Arabidopsis thaliana: one gene and its partners. The protein of the gene in region 2 interacts with the protein of the main gene of each other region in a pairwise test. Each region holds a gene or a part of one and is shown on either strand. Other genes may lie near its edges.

Region 1 (5,301 bases), on a different chromosome or scaffold from region 2:
TCTTCTTCTCTAATCCGTTTTTCCCTTTGTTATTGCAGTCCTTGCTCTGTGACCCTAATCCGAATTCTCCTGCAAACTCGGAAGCTGCTCGGATGTACAGCGAAAGCAAGCGCGAGTACAACAGGAGAGTGCGTGATGTTGTTGAGCAAAGCTGGACTGCTGACTAGTAGTAGTTTGTTGTAAGCGTTGTAGCTCTCTCTACTTTCTCTCAATCACGATTCAGCAACAGCTTTCTTCTCTTTTCATTCATGTCTTGTGTTTCCAAAACTATTTAAGTGATTCCATGCTTTGATGTAACCCAACATCCTTAAAAAAACAACTTTGTACCAAACCATCTGAATTATTCACTTTTGTGTATATATGTATTACGATTTACTTGCTAGCTACAAAAAACAACTTTGTACCCAAATTCCACAAAGTTGCGATATTTTATTTAAGGGTTTGTGGCCTTATCCTTCTGTTACACCCTTTCATTGCCTTAACAATTGCATTGCTTTCTTTGTGACGCTAATCCAATTTCTACACCAAAATCTGAAGCTTCACATGAGACTCGTAAGTACCTTAAGTATTAGTAGGTTCAACTTTATGTATTCTCATATAGGCCTTGAATTTGACATTGATCAGTTTCTCTATGTTCTTCAAGGATGGTGATTTTATATTTCTCTTCTATAGTTCTGAACCACCAAGCCCGAGGTTCTCACTGCTTGTCCATCCTTGTTGCACTTGAATTGTGTACTGCAGATTCCATACAACATCCTCTATCGATGGCCGCTTCCTCTGATCTTCACAAAGACAGTTAATGGCAAACTCTACTGTGGTTCTCAATGACTCGTATGCATATGTTCCTCTCACACACGGATCTGCCAAGCTACGCAACACCGATGGTTCGTCTCTCAAACTGTTCTCCAGCTGAAGCTTCAAGCTCCCCAACTCTGAAGATGCAGCTGCTATTACTTTGCCTGTGATGATCTGAATTAGTATCACTCCAAACTGGTACACATCTTCTTTCTCTCCATCTTCATTACTAGGGCTCTCCGCTCCAACCTGAAATTCCCCCAGAAGGTTATATATTTCATGAGAGGTTAAACTGAAGATTAGAAGCTATATCCTGATTATATTATATCTGGTTTGTTTATATACCTTGGATGGTAAAGGAATACTATAACCACTGAGTTTTACAGTGAGTGTTTCATCAAGTAAAACATTCTCTATTTCCAAATTGTTCCCAAATATTCCTGGTGCCACTCCTGTGTGCAAGAACTGTATTCCTCGAGCAACTCCAATCGCTATCGACATTCTCTGAGGCCATTTCAACACCTCTTTCTTTCTCCAATCTGCCAAAAACATTTCCAAATAATTAGTTTCCCAACAAAAATATAAGTTCTTGAAATCGATAATCTTTTTCAAGTATTACCGGTGAGGTAATCCCTCAAAGACCCGTTAGAGATATATTCTTGGACAATGAAAATAGTGCTTCCGGCATAAGGATGATGATCTTGATAAGTACCAATGCAGTGTCCAAGAACACTGACCAAATGCATATGCCTTAGCTTTGATAAAACTTCCATTTGTTGAGCTAAATTCTGTGTTGAATTCTTCTGTTTCAGCTTAATACACCTCACTGTCACTGCTATGCCTTCTCTAAGACAACCTTTGTACAGCTGTTTTGAAATTAGATATATCGATTAGTTAGACACTCGGATCAATTTTAAATCATGTCTTATTTACATTTTCCTTTACCTGTTCTCCACAGAGATTCTCTGCATCAAAATTGTTGGTTGCTTCTTCCAGTTCCTCCAAAGAGAAAACTCGGTATGGTGATAGTCCAATCACCGCGGATCTCATGGTTTGCGGTACACGTCCTGCATTTGAAAAAATCAAGCTAGTTAGGTTAATGGGTGTGAAAACTTGATTCAAGATTTCAAAGTAATAGCCTACTTAGATCTGGTACTGTCTTTGATGTGGTGGACCTGGTGGTGTTGCTGCAAACAGTGACCTGATCGACGTTGTTTGCTTCCAAAGGCTCTTCTTTTGATCTTGATTTTCTCATCCTAACCAAAACCAAGCCAGCTAAAACCGCTGAAACGAGGATCACACCGATGATAATGCCAATCACCAATCCAAGTTCGATTCCTGTATCTTCTTCTTTCCTTTCTTTATCTTTAGTGTCAGACTTCACAGCAGCTACTGCTTGCTTTGCTTCGTTTTCACAGAAGGTAACTGGACGCTGATACTTTGCAGAAGGAGAACCATTTATAGACAAGCAATTGAATGTGAAGAGCAGTACTGTCTGTTTCTTGGAAGAGAAGCAAGATGGAAGCTTCCCAGTCAGAAGATTCCGAGAAACATCTAAAATTCTAAGCTTGGAGTTGCACAACGATGAATTTGGAAGTGATCCACTCAGCAAGTTTTGTGCTAAACTTAGATTCTGAAGCGAAGGAAGCGAAAGCAGGAATCTTGGGATTGAGCCAGTGAACTTGTTGGAGGAAAGATCTAAGCTCTGAAGCTTATTCAGCTTCTTGATCTGTTCTGGAATCTTTGATCCAAAAGAGTTGTTCTTCAATGAAATAGTAATCAAGTTACTTGCAAGTGAAGGAACAACTTCAGGACCGAGTTTATTACCGCCTAAATTCAGCTCTTGAAGATTCGACAATCCTCTGAGATCAGGAACACTTCCGTTAAACAAATTGTTCGCTAGAACAAGACTTCTCAGATTCTTCAACGACGAGATCTCTTTAGGAATATTCCCAGAGATGAAATTAGAACTGAGATTCAGAGATTGAAGAGATGAAGATAACCTGATGATCTGTGAAGGGAGAGGACCAGAGATGCCAAGAGAGACCAGAGACAATGTCTTTAAGTTTGAGAGTTTTGTAAGAACAGTGAATAGTGAGTCGCTTGAGAATCTTCCGGGGAGCTTAACGGTTCTGTTCCCCGTGACGGTTAATTCAGTTACATGACCATTGAAACAGAGGATTTTGAAAGAAGGAGAAGAAGGGAGGTAGCAGAAATTGGTCCAGTTGCTCCATGATCGAAGAGTTGGTGGATATTGTAAATGCTTTTGGATTTCTAATAGAGTTCTTGATTCACTTGATATTAGCTGTGATTCTGAGACTGATGGCAGAAGAAAAAGAAAGAGAAGAAAAGTGAGAGAAAAGGCCTGGCTTTTAGAGGAACTATGCATTCTCTCAGGAAGAATTACAGAGAAATTAGAAAGAAAGATGTTATTGTGGCTTAAGGAACAGAAGGTCTTTCTGTTATTGTAGCCGAGATTAGTGTTAGTATTTGTTTAGTAGTCTAAAAAAATGGTGTTTTGTACATAAATTCTAGAGATTTTTTTAGATCGGAAGCAGATTTTCTAGGGAAATTGGGAGATAAAAAAATGAAACAATGTTTTTGGGACAGAGCAAGAAACAAAATTAAGTGGAGAGAAGTTCTGCTGAGAAGAAGACAATAAATACAAATTTTGTTTAATTTTTGTTTCTTATGTTGATTGTTCATAAGTTTCACATTGACAGACTGTTTTACTGCTTCGAAGAAAGTGAATGAAATTTTTTAAAAGCATAAAATGAATTAGATCCTTAAAATACGTAAAATCCACATGAAATATCTGACTATTTATCTACTTTTGATCTAAAATTTCCACAATTTAGAGTTATTTATTTACTTCAACTGGTTCTTAATTAATTTCTCTGTTATGGTCAGAAGACCTTTCTTTATTACTCATATAACATGCATTTATTTGATACATAATACATGCATAAACATACAAATACATACATGTTTGACGAATAAATGTTGTGTAGTAGTACTTCTCTCGAAATCCGTTGATCTCTTCCCCAAGGTAAATTCTTTCATCTTTACCAATTTTTTAAAAAATATAAATGAATAAACTTACGAATAAATGTTTGTAGTTTCTTTTATAACATTTTAACTCCTGTAATATCAATACTACTTGTAAAATAACAAAAAATACATACTTAATTAATGAGCAACGTTGCATTAATTGTTAATGCATAGAGATTTGATAGATATATAGCGACCAGACAGTATGTAATAAAAGTCAACCAGACCAGTGAACGAGTTTTTTTACACGTGCTCTTTCGTCAATGTAAATATGTAATGATCAGATCGTGCCGTTAAGGATCATCCAAAGCCACCGTCGCAAGGAAAATCTAACCCCGTTCGTTGGATTAAAAGCTCAAATAAAGAATTACATGTCCTAACCAAATCTTTTTCTCGAACTACACTTTTAACCACTTGTTGTTTTTCTCGAAACCAGAAGGACACCAAATGATCATCTATATACAGTAAACCAACAAATGATATAAATCGTACTTCTTTTTTCTCGTGGTCATCAATCAACAATTCAATATCAAACTGTTACAAAAAATACCAATCTCAAACTAATAATACTACCAATTAGTTCGGCCATGATATATTTTCATCACTATTGTCGGTGAGAAATGAGTGTCATTTTGTTTTCGTGTGTTTGGAAAGTGTTGAGATTCTAACAAATGTTCAGCTGTTTTCTTTTTGGTGTGTGAATTGTGATGAACTGTCCATTACTTTCTCTTTTGTTCCTTTATTCTTTTTACATCGATCTCTCATTGTTCTTTACTTCTTTTTAAGTGGCCTGACGTGCGATCCTAATAAAAAGAAGGTTGGTTATATACAATTTTTGACAAAAACCAAAAAAGTTTTGTTGTATAAGAGGAATTATAGAAACCATGCATCACCAACACCAAGTAGTAAAAAGTTTCATCCCAAAACAAGTGACCGTCATCGTAGTAAGTTAAAAAAATGGCTGAAAACAAAAGTTTTCAAGTTCAAAATACAAGGTTTTATCAGAAGCACTCAAAACCAATATTTTGTCACAGCTTCCAAGTTTCCAAGTAATCATGATGAAAAAATATACTATTTTCTAAAAACAAAAAGGTAAGGGAAGATAAAATGCGAGTTTGCAAGCACATCACATGCAACTGCCTTTGTAATAAGCGACACTGCCAAAGTATCAATTAATATTATACAACATGCATTTCTTTTCAATTTTATATGCAGCTTTATTATTAAAATCCTTTGTCAGATAACTTACAAACTGTTATTTTTTGGGCTTATAGGCTTATTAAAGGTTAGAATTTAAACCCATATATGTATCCAACTAATTTAAGGCCCAAAATATGCATCTTTAGGTCCATATAAATTAGGCATGTTCAAAATAAATTACCCAAATTATATAGCATATAGTTGAATAAATTCAGAAAAAAAAAAATATCATAAAGTTTACACTGTAGTTTAGTT
Region 2 (3,819 bases):
GAGAAAAAAAAACGTCTAATTTTATGATCGTTATTTAATTGTGATACAAGTTTCGGTTTCAAATGGTAATGAAGATTATTAATGCTTTGATGATGGGTTAATTTCTGGTTTATTAGTATTTGGATTATTTTAAAAACTGAAATTGCTTTCAAGTTGATAAATGATACACTCATACATAACTGTCGATGGCTTTTCAACGGAGAAGAGACAAGTCACGTCGTAGTAGTTACCGAATTTTTAATCGAACGTTCCCATTTGCCAACCAGTGTATAGTTTCTATATCTTCCAACCCGGGTCGGGTCATTTGAGAACCCATAAAACTATGAAACCCATTTCAGCTAATAAAGCCCATTTGCAGAAATGAAGCCCATTTACAGATTTCATGTCTGCAAATTAAGTACTCATTTTCTGCAAATTCTCTCAGTACTTATAGTAATCAAAGAAAAAACACACAAATATGTCTTTAATCCTTACAATACTATCTAACACCAGATGTCTGAAAATCAAAAGAAACCAATAAAGCTTTACAAGGTATTTCAATGATGTCGTGAACTAGACTCATACAATGAACTCACCAAGTCATAAATCTGCGTCAAGCTTGGTTGCTTTAATGGTGGTATTATATCAGTACACATCAGTCCTAGCGTAATGGCTTGCTTAACTTGATCAAATGTTCTCCCCTCAATCTTCATCTTCTCATCAATCACTCTCTCTAGATTATCCGGATAATGAACTCTTATATACTCAAGATACCTTCTTTCTGAATCTTCTTGTCCCAAATCAGGTCTTAGATTTGTAATCATCTCCACAAAAAACAATCCAAAGTTGAATATATCTGTAATAACACAACAACAACAACAACAACAGACTTAGCTTTTATAGCCTTAAAAAGGTTTTGATTTTTGCAAGAAGAAGATGAAGCCTTACTTGTTGACAAGTTGTTTCTATCTCCAATCTTGAAATGAGAAATCAAAGGTTCTTGATTATCATCGGATAACAAAACACTGCTTGTGGTGAGATCAAATGTAATCTCTGGCCATTGATCTGATAGATAACAAATACCTTCTACAACTCCTAGAACTACTCTTAACCTTCTTCTCCATGATAAAGCCATTGACGAACTTAACCAAGTCTCAACATTTTCACCTTGAATCCATTCTGTAACCAAAGCTCTCATGTTTCTACTATTACACCAACCCAACACTCTTACCAAGTTCTTGTGTCGTAACTTAAAAACCATCTCGCATACCTCTGCGAATTCACGCCTTTTCTCACTCGAAACCTTCTCTTTATAAACCTCGATCTTCGTCTCTGTCCCGTCTCTTAACGTTCCTTTGTAGATATCCACTGTATTGCTCATGCTCACAAGATGTTGATCTGAAAACTCATCCGTTGCTGCTTCAAGCATCGCGAATGTGAACTTGTTTCTTCTCCGGCATGTTCTTGGTAAGTAATCAGGTCTCTTGACACATAACCAGCCAAAGCAAAAACAGAGCAAAATCACCATTATTGGAAAAACAATCAACAAGACCAAAACTTTCATCTTGTAACGCTTCACGTTGGGAAGAACACCGGACTGTATGAAACTAGAGGCGTTAAACCGTTTGAAGAACTCAGAATCCGAGATCTTATTCTCGGAGAATCGGTTATACGATAGGTTCAAATGGGTCAGATTGGGTAAGCCTGAGAGATCTTGAACCGGAACAAAACCAGAGAATTGGTTGTAACTCAGATCAAGAGTACGAATCTGAGCACAAGACAGAACATTTGTCGGAAAACCATTCGTTAGAGAGTTATTCACTAACTCGATATCAACGACGGTTAAAGGACAGTACTTCCAGAAGAAATCGAAAGAGAGGTAAAGAGCAGCGGTTTTAGGACGACCGTGAATTCTGATTCTAGGGAAAGATTCAACGCAGTTAGGGTTTTTGGACTCGTTACAGAGATGACTAGCGACGATTGTGGATCTGAAAATCTCGACAATGTCCATTGGAGAAGAGGAAGTGTTGTTGCAGTAACGGAGCATTGGATCACGAAGACAGTTGTTGGAAATAGTGGTGTTGAAATCAGGAGGTGGACTTAGATTAGCGAGGTCTTCGACGACGGTTGCGGAGAATACTGAGAGAGGAAGATAGGATGATAGTAGTGACGTGAGGAAGAAGATGAAGAACAGAGAAGACGCCATTGGAGAGATAGAGAGCAAATAGGTTTCGTTATTTGGTTTCGTGTATGGGTGAGATTAGAGAGAGAAGCAGAGAGGTAGTTTCTGTGTTATTGGAGGTGTTGTTGTTGTTGGCGGTTATTTTGAAACAGAGTGGGATGAGATTTACGCGCCCATTTTCCTTTTAGTGATCGTGTGCTTGGAAGTTGAAGATTATTAAAATAATAATAATTGTGAAGTTTTTTAAATTTTGTGAATATCTACACTTTTTACAATAGCTCCACTATGAAAACAAATTTCAATGTTTAATTATCATTTTCGTTGTCATTGAACACATAATAATGTGTTTATGTCAGTTGGTAAAAAATTATCTAGAATGGTTTTGCTTGTATTTGTAAGATTGTGCCTCGAATTCCTTTCATATATTTCTTGTCTCTTTGGTCTATTTATCTTGTTCTAAACTTTTTCTCTTTCTTGCGCAACAAACATCTACGTGGGTGAATTTGAGTCGATAATTATTTGGTAAATGTGCTCAATGTTAAATATAATTTTTGTTTGAGAATTGAATTGAATTATATAAACTACTATCAATAAAATCTTCAATAGTTTCACTTTATATCCAATGAACTTTATATTTCTGCAATTTTACCAAATTAATATGCCTAATTTAAAATTTAGATTTATAGAATCATATATATAATTTTTAATTTTCTACATTTCTATTTTTATTCATCTAATCTATATGCATTTAATTTCTTTAATTGGTATAGTTTCCTATGTTGTATTGTTTATTATTTTGTTATTAACATATTTTATAATTTTTTGTATTTTCTTAATTAAGAATAATAAAAATATATAAAAATAATAGTTATTGTCTTAATGAATCTTTAAAAAAATGGAAATTCAACAGGAGCTAAAAGGTAAACTTTTGATAAAGAAAATAAAATTTATTGCAAACTTACTCAGGCTTCTTAATTGTTAGAGAATTTTACACTAATGCAACGCATTAAAAGGTGAATTCAACAGAAGCTAAATGCTACTTCCATGAGCACTAACTCAAAAAGTGAGAGGAATAGTCATTTGAGATAAGTTGAGAACTAGGCAGTTTTTAGGGAAATAATTTGAGAACTAGACAGTTTTTTTAAAAATAGGCTGATAGGGTAGTTTCTTCTGTCCTCTCTAATACAGCCCTCCTCTAATACAGCAAATAGTCAAAGACCGTTTTACCCCTCTTGTGTTTTGATGAAAACTAATGGGCCAAATTCAAACCAGCCCAATATCATTCAAAATTCAAGATTTGTCATGGGCTAATATCACAAAACTCAAACCCATTTGTCCTCAAGACATTGAAACCAAACATAAACTTATCTCCTAAACCCTCGTTGAACATAAACTTCTCTCGTCGTCGACATCTTCTCTGAAGTCGTCATTGTCAAAAGAAGATAAACCCTCGTCACTTCGAAAATCATACACACATTGTCAAAATCTGTCGAGATGGAAGGTATGAGTTATCATAAGAAGCTTTACAGTTTATGAAATTGAGTGTACGGCCAACAAATAACGATGGAGACGATGACTCTGTTTTCGTTTTTTCAGGGGACGATGAATCCTGCGTCTCCATGGTCGGCCGGTGGATTTGCTACTCCAATGGTTGGTGG
Region 3 (5,165 bases), on a different chromosome or scaffold from region 2:
ATGTCAAAGAGTATCCCACTAATAAATTTATTGAACCCCATGTGCATATGTACCCAGTCTGGTACGAGTTGGAACATGAGATAAAGTTGTGGCAACTGCCCATGACTCGGTGTAAATGGTATATCACATGAAAAATTATAAGTCCAGATCACAATATGTTTTCTTCAAATAATTCGAAAAATTATCTAATCGATTTCCCTTTAAGCTTGAACTAAATAGTTTATCAGCACTAGTAATTCTTTCATACAAAATCTCTAAGCAAATATATATCTTTCTGGGTCAATGTTGTTTTTTCATATCTAAAATGTTTTTTCTTTCTCCTGTGAAGTAGGGTTATTAGTTAGTGGTTACCAACTTCACATTATAAAACTTCATATCTAATCAAATCGTGAAGTATTTGTCAGTCAATCGTGAGACGATATTCATGACCACTTTTGTCGTTGACTTTGTTTTTGGCTCAAAATTTTGGACGGCGATAAAAAATAAAACTCGTTGACATTGTTTTTTGGCTGAATCGTTGACTAGGATTCTGGGATAAGATGTGTAAAGAAGAAAACAAAAACCAATTTATTCACACGCAATCAACTATATATTTATACAAAAATTAGCAAAAGCAATAGTTTTATAGACATTTTTAAAACTTTGGAAATAAAGAAAAGTAGAAAGAAAGAAAAAAAGAAACTGATAGGTCTCATCTCAATTTGAGGCTCAAGAATTAACGAACAAACTAGAACAAGAACAAAGAAGAAGAAGTAGAAAAAAGGCGGGAAGTGGGGTCGACACTATTCAAGAAATTGCAACTTGACCCCAAACAATATTCAAATCAATCAATTTAGACCCCCAAAAAATCAGTCGGATACAGGATTTGGGGAGCCAGATGAATGAGAAACCTCCTCAATGAGTCTGGTGACTTCAGCCATCGAAGGACGACTATCTGGGAACTGAGCCGTACAGCTCATACCGATCTTCAATAAACGAATGATGTTCTCATTGCCCTCAGGTTGGTACCTTGTGAGCTCGGGATCAAGCACATCGGACGGTGTTTGTTGCTCGGTAACAGATTGGACCCATCTCGGCAAATCTACGCCTTCTTCATTCAACTGCTGATGCGTTGGAGACTTACCTGCAATGTAATGTTCCATGTTAAAACCTAGAAACCACAGCAATTGCAAAAAAAGCAGTTAAAAAGATATATCTATCCTTGATTGTTTGTTACCTGTGAGTAATTCAAGGATTAGGACGCCAAAGCTATAGACATCAGCTTTTTGGGATATTTTGCGAGCATCAGTGATTTCAGGGGCACGGTAGCCATCAATACGGTTAGGTGCAGATGTAGAACTAATGATGGGAGCAAGACCGTAATCAGAGACCTTAGCTTCATAGGAGTCAGATAATAGTATGTTCGAGGACTTAATGTTTCCATGAGAAGTTGTCCCATCACGCGAATGTAGGTAGCTAATCGCTCTTGCAGCTCCTAAGGCTATACCGGCTCTGGTTTCCCAGTTCAACGGAGTTCTCCCGTTTCCTTTGTTCCCTACAAATCCATTAAAAGAGCTTCAAAACCGAGCTTGAAGACACATAAGATAAACTAACTATGAAACAATTCAGTAATCAGTGTCAATTTTAGCCAAACCAGGTCCATCAAGATCACAAACTAGCATCAGCTAAACTAAGAACCCTAAAAATAAACAAATGCACAAATGGAGATTACTATTCTATACCGTGCAATATCGCAGACAAGCTTCCTTTAGACATGTACTCAAAGACAAGAAGCTTCTCGTCACGGCTGAAATAGTAAGCGATCAGAGTCACGAGATTGGCATGACTCATTGATCCCAAAACATGCAATCTCTCTCTGAACTCTTTCTCAGGCACCACAACATCTCTTAACCGTTTCACAGCCACCACTAACCCATGCTCAAAGCTTGCCTTATACGACGACCCAACTGTTCCTTTCCCAAGAACCTCAGCTGAAGCCTTCAACAATCCATCCAAATCGAATTCCCCGAAAGATTTCACGAAAAAGGTCAAATCTTTATTCACCGCACCACTCTCCGACCCCGTAGCCTTAGCCGGCGGGACAACAACCACCGTTTCCTTTGGTATAGCAGCGGAGGAAGTCGCAGCAGCGACAGGAGCTTCAACATTCCTAGATGGAACGTTCTCTTCTTTCTTTCTCTTTCTACAGAGACAGAACAGAATCAAAAGAAGCAGTAACAGACCAACAACACATCCGATCACAATCCCGACAATAGCTCCGGCGGATAACTTGTCGCTATCTTTCTTCTCCGGCGGCGTATTGGGTCCTCCAGCGTCACCACCATTGGGGCTCTCTGCCTCACAAGTGTCTAAAGGCTTCCCACAGAGAGTGTTACCTTCAAAAGCAGTTCGAGGCCAAGACGACAACGAACTCGGAATAGACCCGTTTAACTGATTAGAAGAAACATTGAATTGCTGAAGAGGAAGCGTGATCTCAGGGATCGGACCAGAGAGTTGATTCCTCTCCAAATACAGAGTAACCAACCGGGTCGCAGAATTGACATTATCCGGGATCCGACCCGAGAATTTATTCTCCCCTAGATTGATTCTGATTATGCTCGGAAGCGTGAAGAGAAGCGACGGAATCTCACCGGAAAAGGCATTACCTTGAAGATACAAGTAACGGAGGAGAACAAGGTTGGAGAAATCCGAAGGGATAGGACCAGAGAGAGAATTGAACCGGAGAGAAAGAGTCTTAAGCTGGGTTAGATTACCAATACCACCGATTGGTAAAGAACCGAATAAACCAGATCCGGGTAATCGGAGAGCCGTGACCCGACCCGCATCGCAGTGGACTCCGTGCCAATTACAAGGAGAAGAAGCACTCATGTTCCATAGCAAAGGACGGCCACGGACACTGTTACGAACAGCGAGTAAAGCTCTCCGGTCAGACTCTAGATCTGAAGTCACCGCAGCGAGATAGAAGACAAAGAGGAAGACAACAGAGAGACTTAGCTTACGCTTATACTTCATCTTCTTCTTCTTCTTCAAAAACCGTGTAAATTCTTCGTCTCCTTGGTTCCAAAAATTCAATAAATATATCGACTTTTTCGGATATGGGTTTTTGGAAAATTTATTTCGGCTACGCGTAAACGAGTGTTTGAACAAAGAGACTTTTGTGTTTTTTGGTTTACAAGAGTTTCAGCTCTGTCTTTCTTCTCTCTCTAGAGCCGGCTAAGAGAGAGAAAATGGTCATAATTGCAGAGAAAAAGGAAAAAAAGAAAAGTTACTAATTGGAATATTTCCTTTTTGACAAAAAAGTTAAAAGAGAATCTTATGTATTTAATTTGACAGCTAATTTACAGAAAGATAATTAATTAATTATAAGGTTATGACTTATGAATACTAGTTGTAACAATTTTATCAGAGTCAACTATATTTGCGTTACATAAATGACAATAAATCACTGCAGTAATGTTTTTTGTAGACGTTTAAACGACCTCTGTTTTTCCTTTCTTTTGTATTAGATCAATAAATTAGGTCTAATTAAAAAATTAATGGTCGTTATCGTTTTGTTTCTTTTATGTTTTTTTTTTTTGCAGGTTGAGTGTGACCAAAGACATGCCAGGTCTGTCAAATGTGTCTGAGCTACCGTTGACAAACAAAGATTAGCCTCTCCGACACCGTTTTTATTTCTGATATAAGTTTGTACCATAGACATTTTTTTTTTTTTTTTATGTATTTGTTGTATCAATTTGAAAGGAAGGTAATAGAAATGGTCAACAGAGAACTTAAGAAGTGGTATTCATTTTGAAGATTTCAATTGTTCAATTTTTAAAACTCTTACATCAAATTTATTTTAATAGAAGTGGTTGGTTTCTCGTGACTATTAACAAACATTCTTCCCAACCCGAAACCTAACCTCACCTAACTTTCAAGTTCAAATACAAATAGATGATGACTAATATAAGCTGATTTTCTCCCAACACCTTCTATAATTCACTCTTAACCTCTTCTTCATGGCTATGACCATGTTCGTCCAAATAAGAAACGGCCATAGCTGCGTGAAGAGCAGCCCCAACAGGAAGAGCTTCTTCATCAACAAAGAAGTAAGGCGAGTGAAGCGGCTTACCAGCGCCTAGCGTCTCATTCTTTACCCCCAGCACGAAAATCGCAGCCTTAGTCTTTTGAGTGAAGAAGCTGAAATCCTCTCCTCCCATTGTCACCGGGAAATCATGGAAGTTATTCTTTCCAATCATCGCTTCCGCTACTTTTTTACCGTGCTCGTATAAGCCCTCGTCGTTATTCATTACCGGGTGAAGCGACGGCTTTTTCTCTTCGAAGTTTACTTCTGCTTTGCATCGGTATACCGATGCTTGTGCCTCTGAAATCTGCATCATCATCAAGAAACATTTAAACAGGGTTAGGGACCTACATTATTCGAATAGTAGAACAAGATTGTATAGAAAAATGGTGTAAAAAACAATCTCTTTACCTCTTTGATCCGTCTTTGGATAAATAGAAGCCCATCGTTGCTTAAGCTTCTGAAAGTACCTCCAAATTTCGCACTCTGCGGTATTACGTTTTGAGCATGACCTCCTTCAATATATCCAACTGTAACCACCTGAGAAACATAAAAAAACCAATCTCCGCTGATTTCAGCCAAGATTCTGATTCATCAAACACCAATGCTTTGAAAGTGGAAAGCAAACTTACACCAGCTTCGAGTGGATCCAGTTCCCGCGAAACAATCTGTTGCAAGGCAACAACAGCGGAAGAAGCTGCAAGAACCGGGTCTTTAGAGAAGTGCGGTGTAGCTGCGTGGCTACCTTGACCGTGAACCGTGACTGTAAACAATCCTGCACCTGCAAGAACGGTCCCAGGCCTAGAACCAATACCACCTGATGGGATCGATGGAAAGACATGAACACTGAGTATCCCATCTAAGTCGTCTAGAATCTCGTCTTTTAGCATTTCATAAGCACCTGCATAACCTTCCTCGCCTGGTTGAAACACAAGTTTTACTGTCCCCTGTTGCAAAAAAATTGTGTTTTCGTTCAAAACCCTCATAAGATTCACCAAACTCTCATAAGACACACACACTAACAACTCTAGAAAACACACACACATAACAATTAGCAATCAAAGACATACACACACATATATCTAAGAATCTTAGAAAACAC

The links. Proteins that work in one complex are often made in the same cells at the same time.
Region 1: the proteins of AT4G20790 (region 2) and AT1G14390 interact in a protein complementation assay, tested with the Arabidopsis thaliana proteins (2 studies listed by BioGRID).
Region 3: the proteins of AT4G20790 (region 2) and AT3G02880 interact in a protein complementation assay, tested with the Arabidopsis thaliana proteins (2 studies listed by BioGRID).

Annotation. Positions count from the first base shown.
Region 1 is NC_003070.9:4,922,160-4,927,460, reverse strand, and holds AT1G14390 (Leucine-rich repeat protein kinase family protein), read right to left. Parts: upstream 3,425-5,301; 5' UTR 3,185-3,424; coding exon 1,939-3,184; intron 1,863-1,938; coding exon 1,741-1,862; intron 1,662-1,740; coding exon 1,415-1,661; intron 1,335-1,414; coding exon 1,141-1,334; intron 1,045-1,140; coding exon 667-1,044; 3' UTR 547-666; downstream 1-546. Other genes in the region: UBC1 (ubiquitin carrier protein 1), read left to right, coding at 39-167.
Region 2 is NC_003075.7:11,134,239-11,138,057, forward strand, and holds AT4G20790 (Leucine-rich repeat protein kinase family protein), read right to left. Parts: upstream 2,186-3,819; coding exon 928-2,185; intron 836-927; coding exon 537-835; downstream 1-536.
Region 3 is NC_003074.8:632,666-637,830, reverse strand, and holds AT3G02880 (Leucine-rich repeat protein kinase family protein), read right to left. Parts: upstream 3,367-5,165; 5' UTR 3,013-3,366; coding exon 1,722-3,012; intron 1,535-1,721; coding exon 1,217-1,534; intron 1,124-1,216; coding exon 849-1,123; 3' UTR 547-848; downstream 1-546. Other genes in the region: ILR1 (Peptidase M20/M25/M40 family protein), read right to left, coding at 3,972-4,370, 4,475-4,603, 4,696-5,010.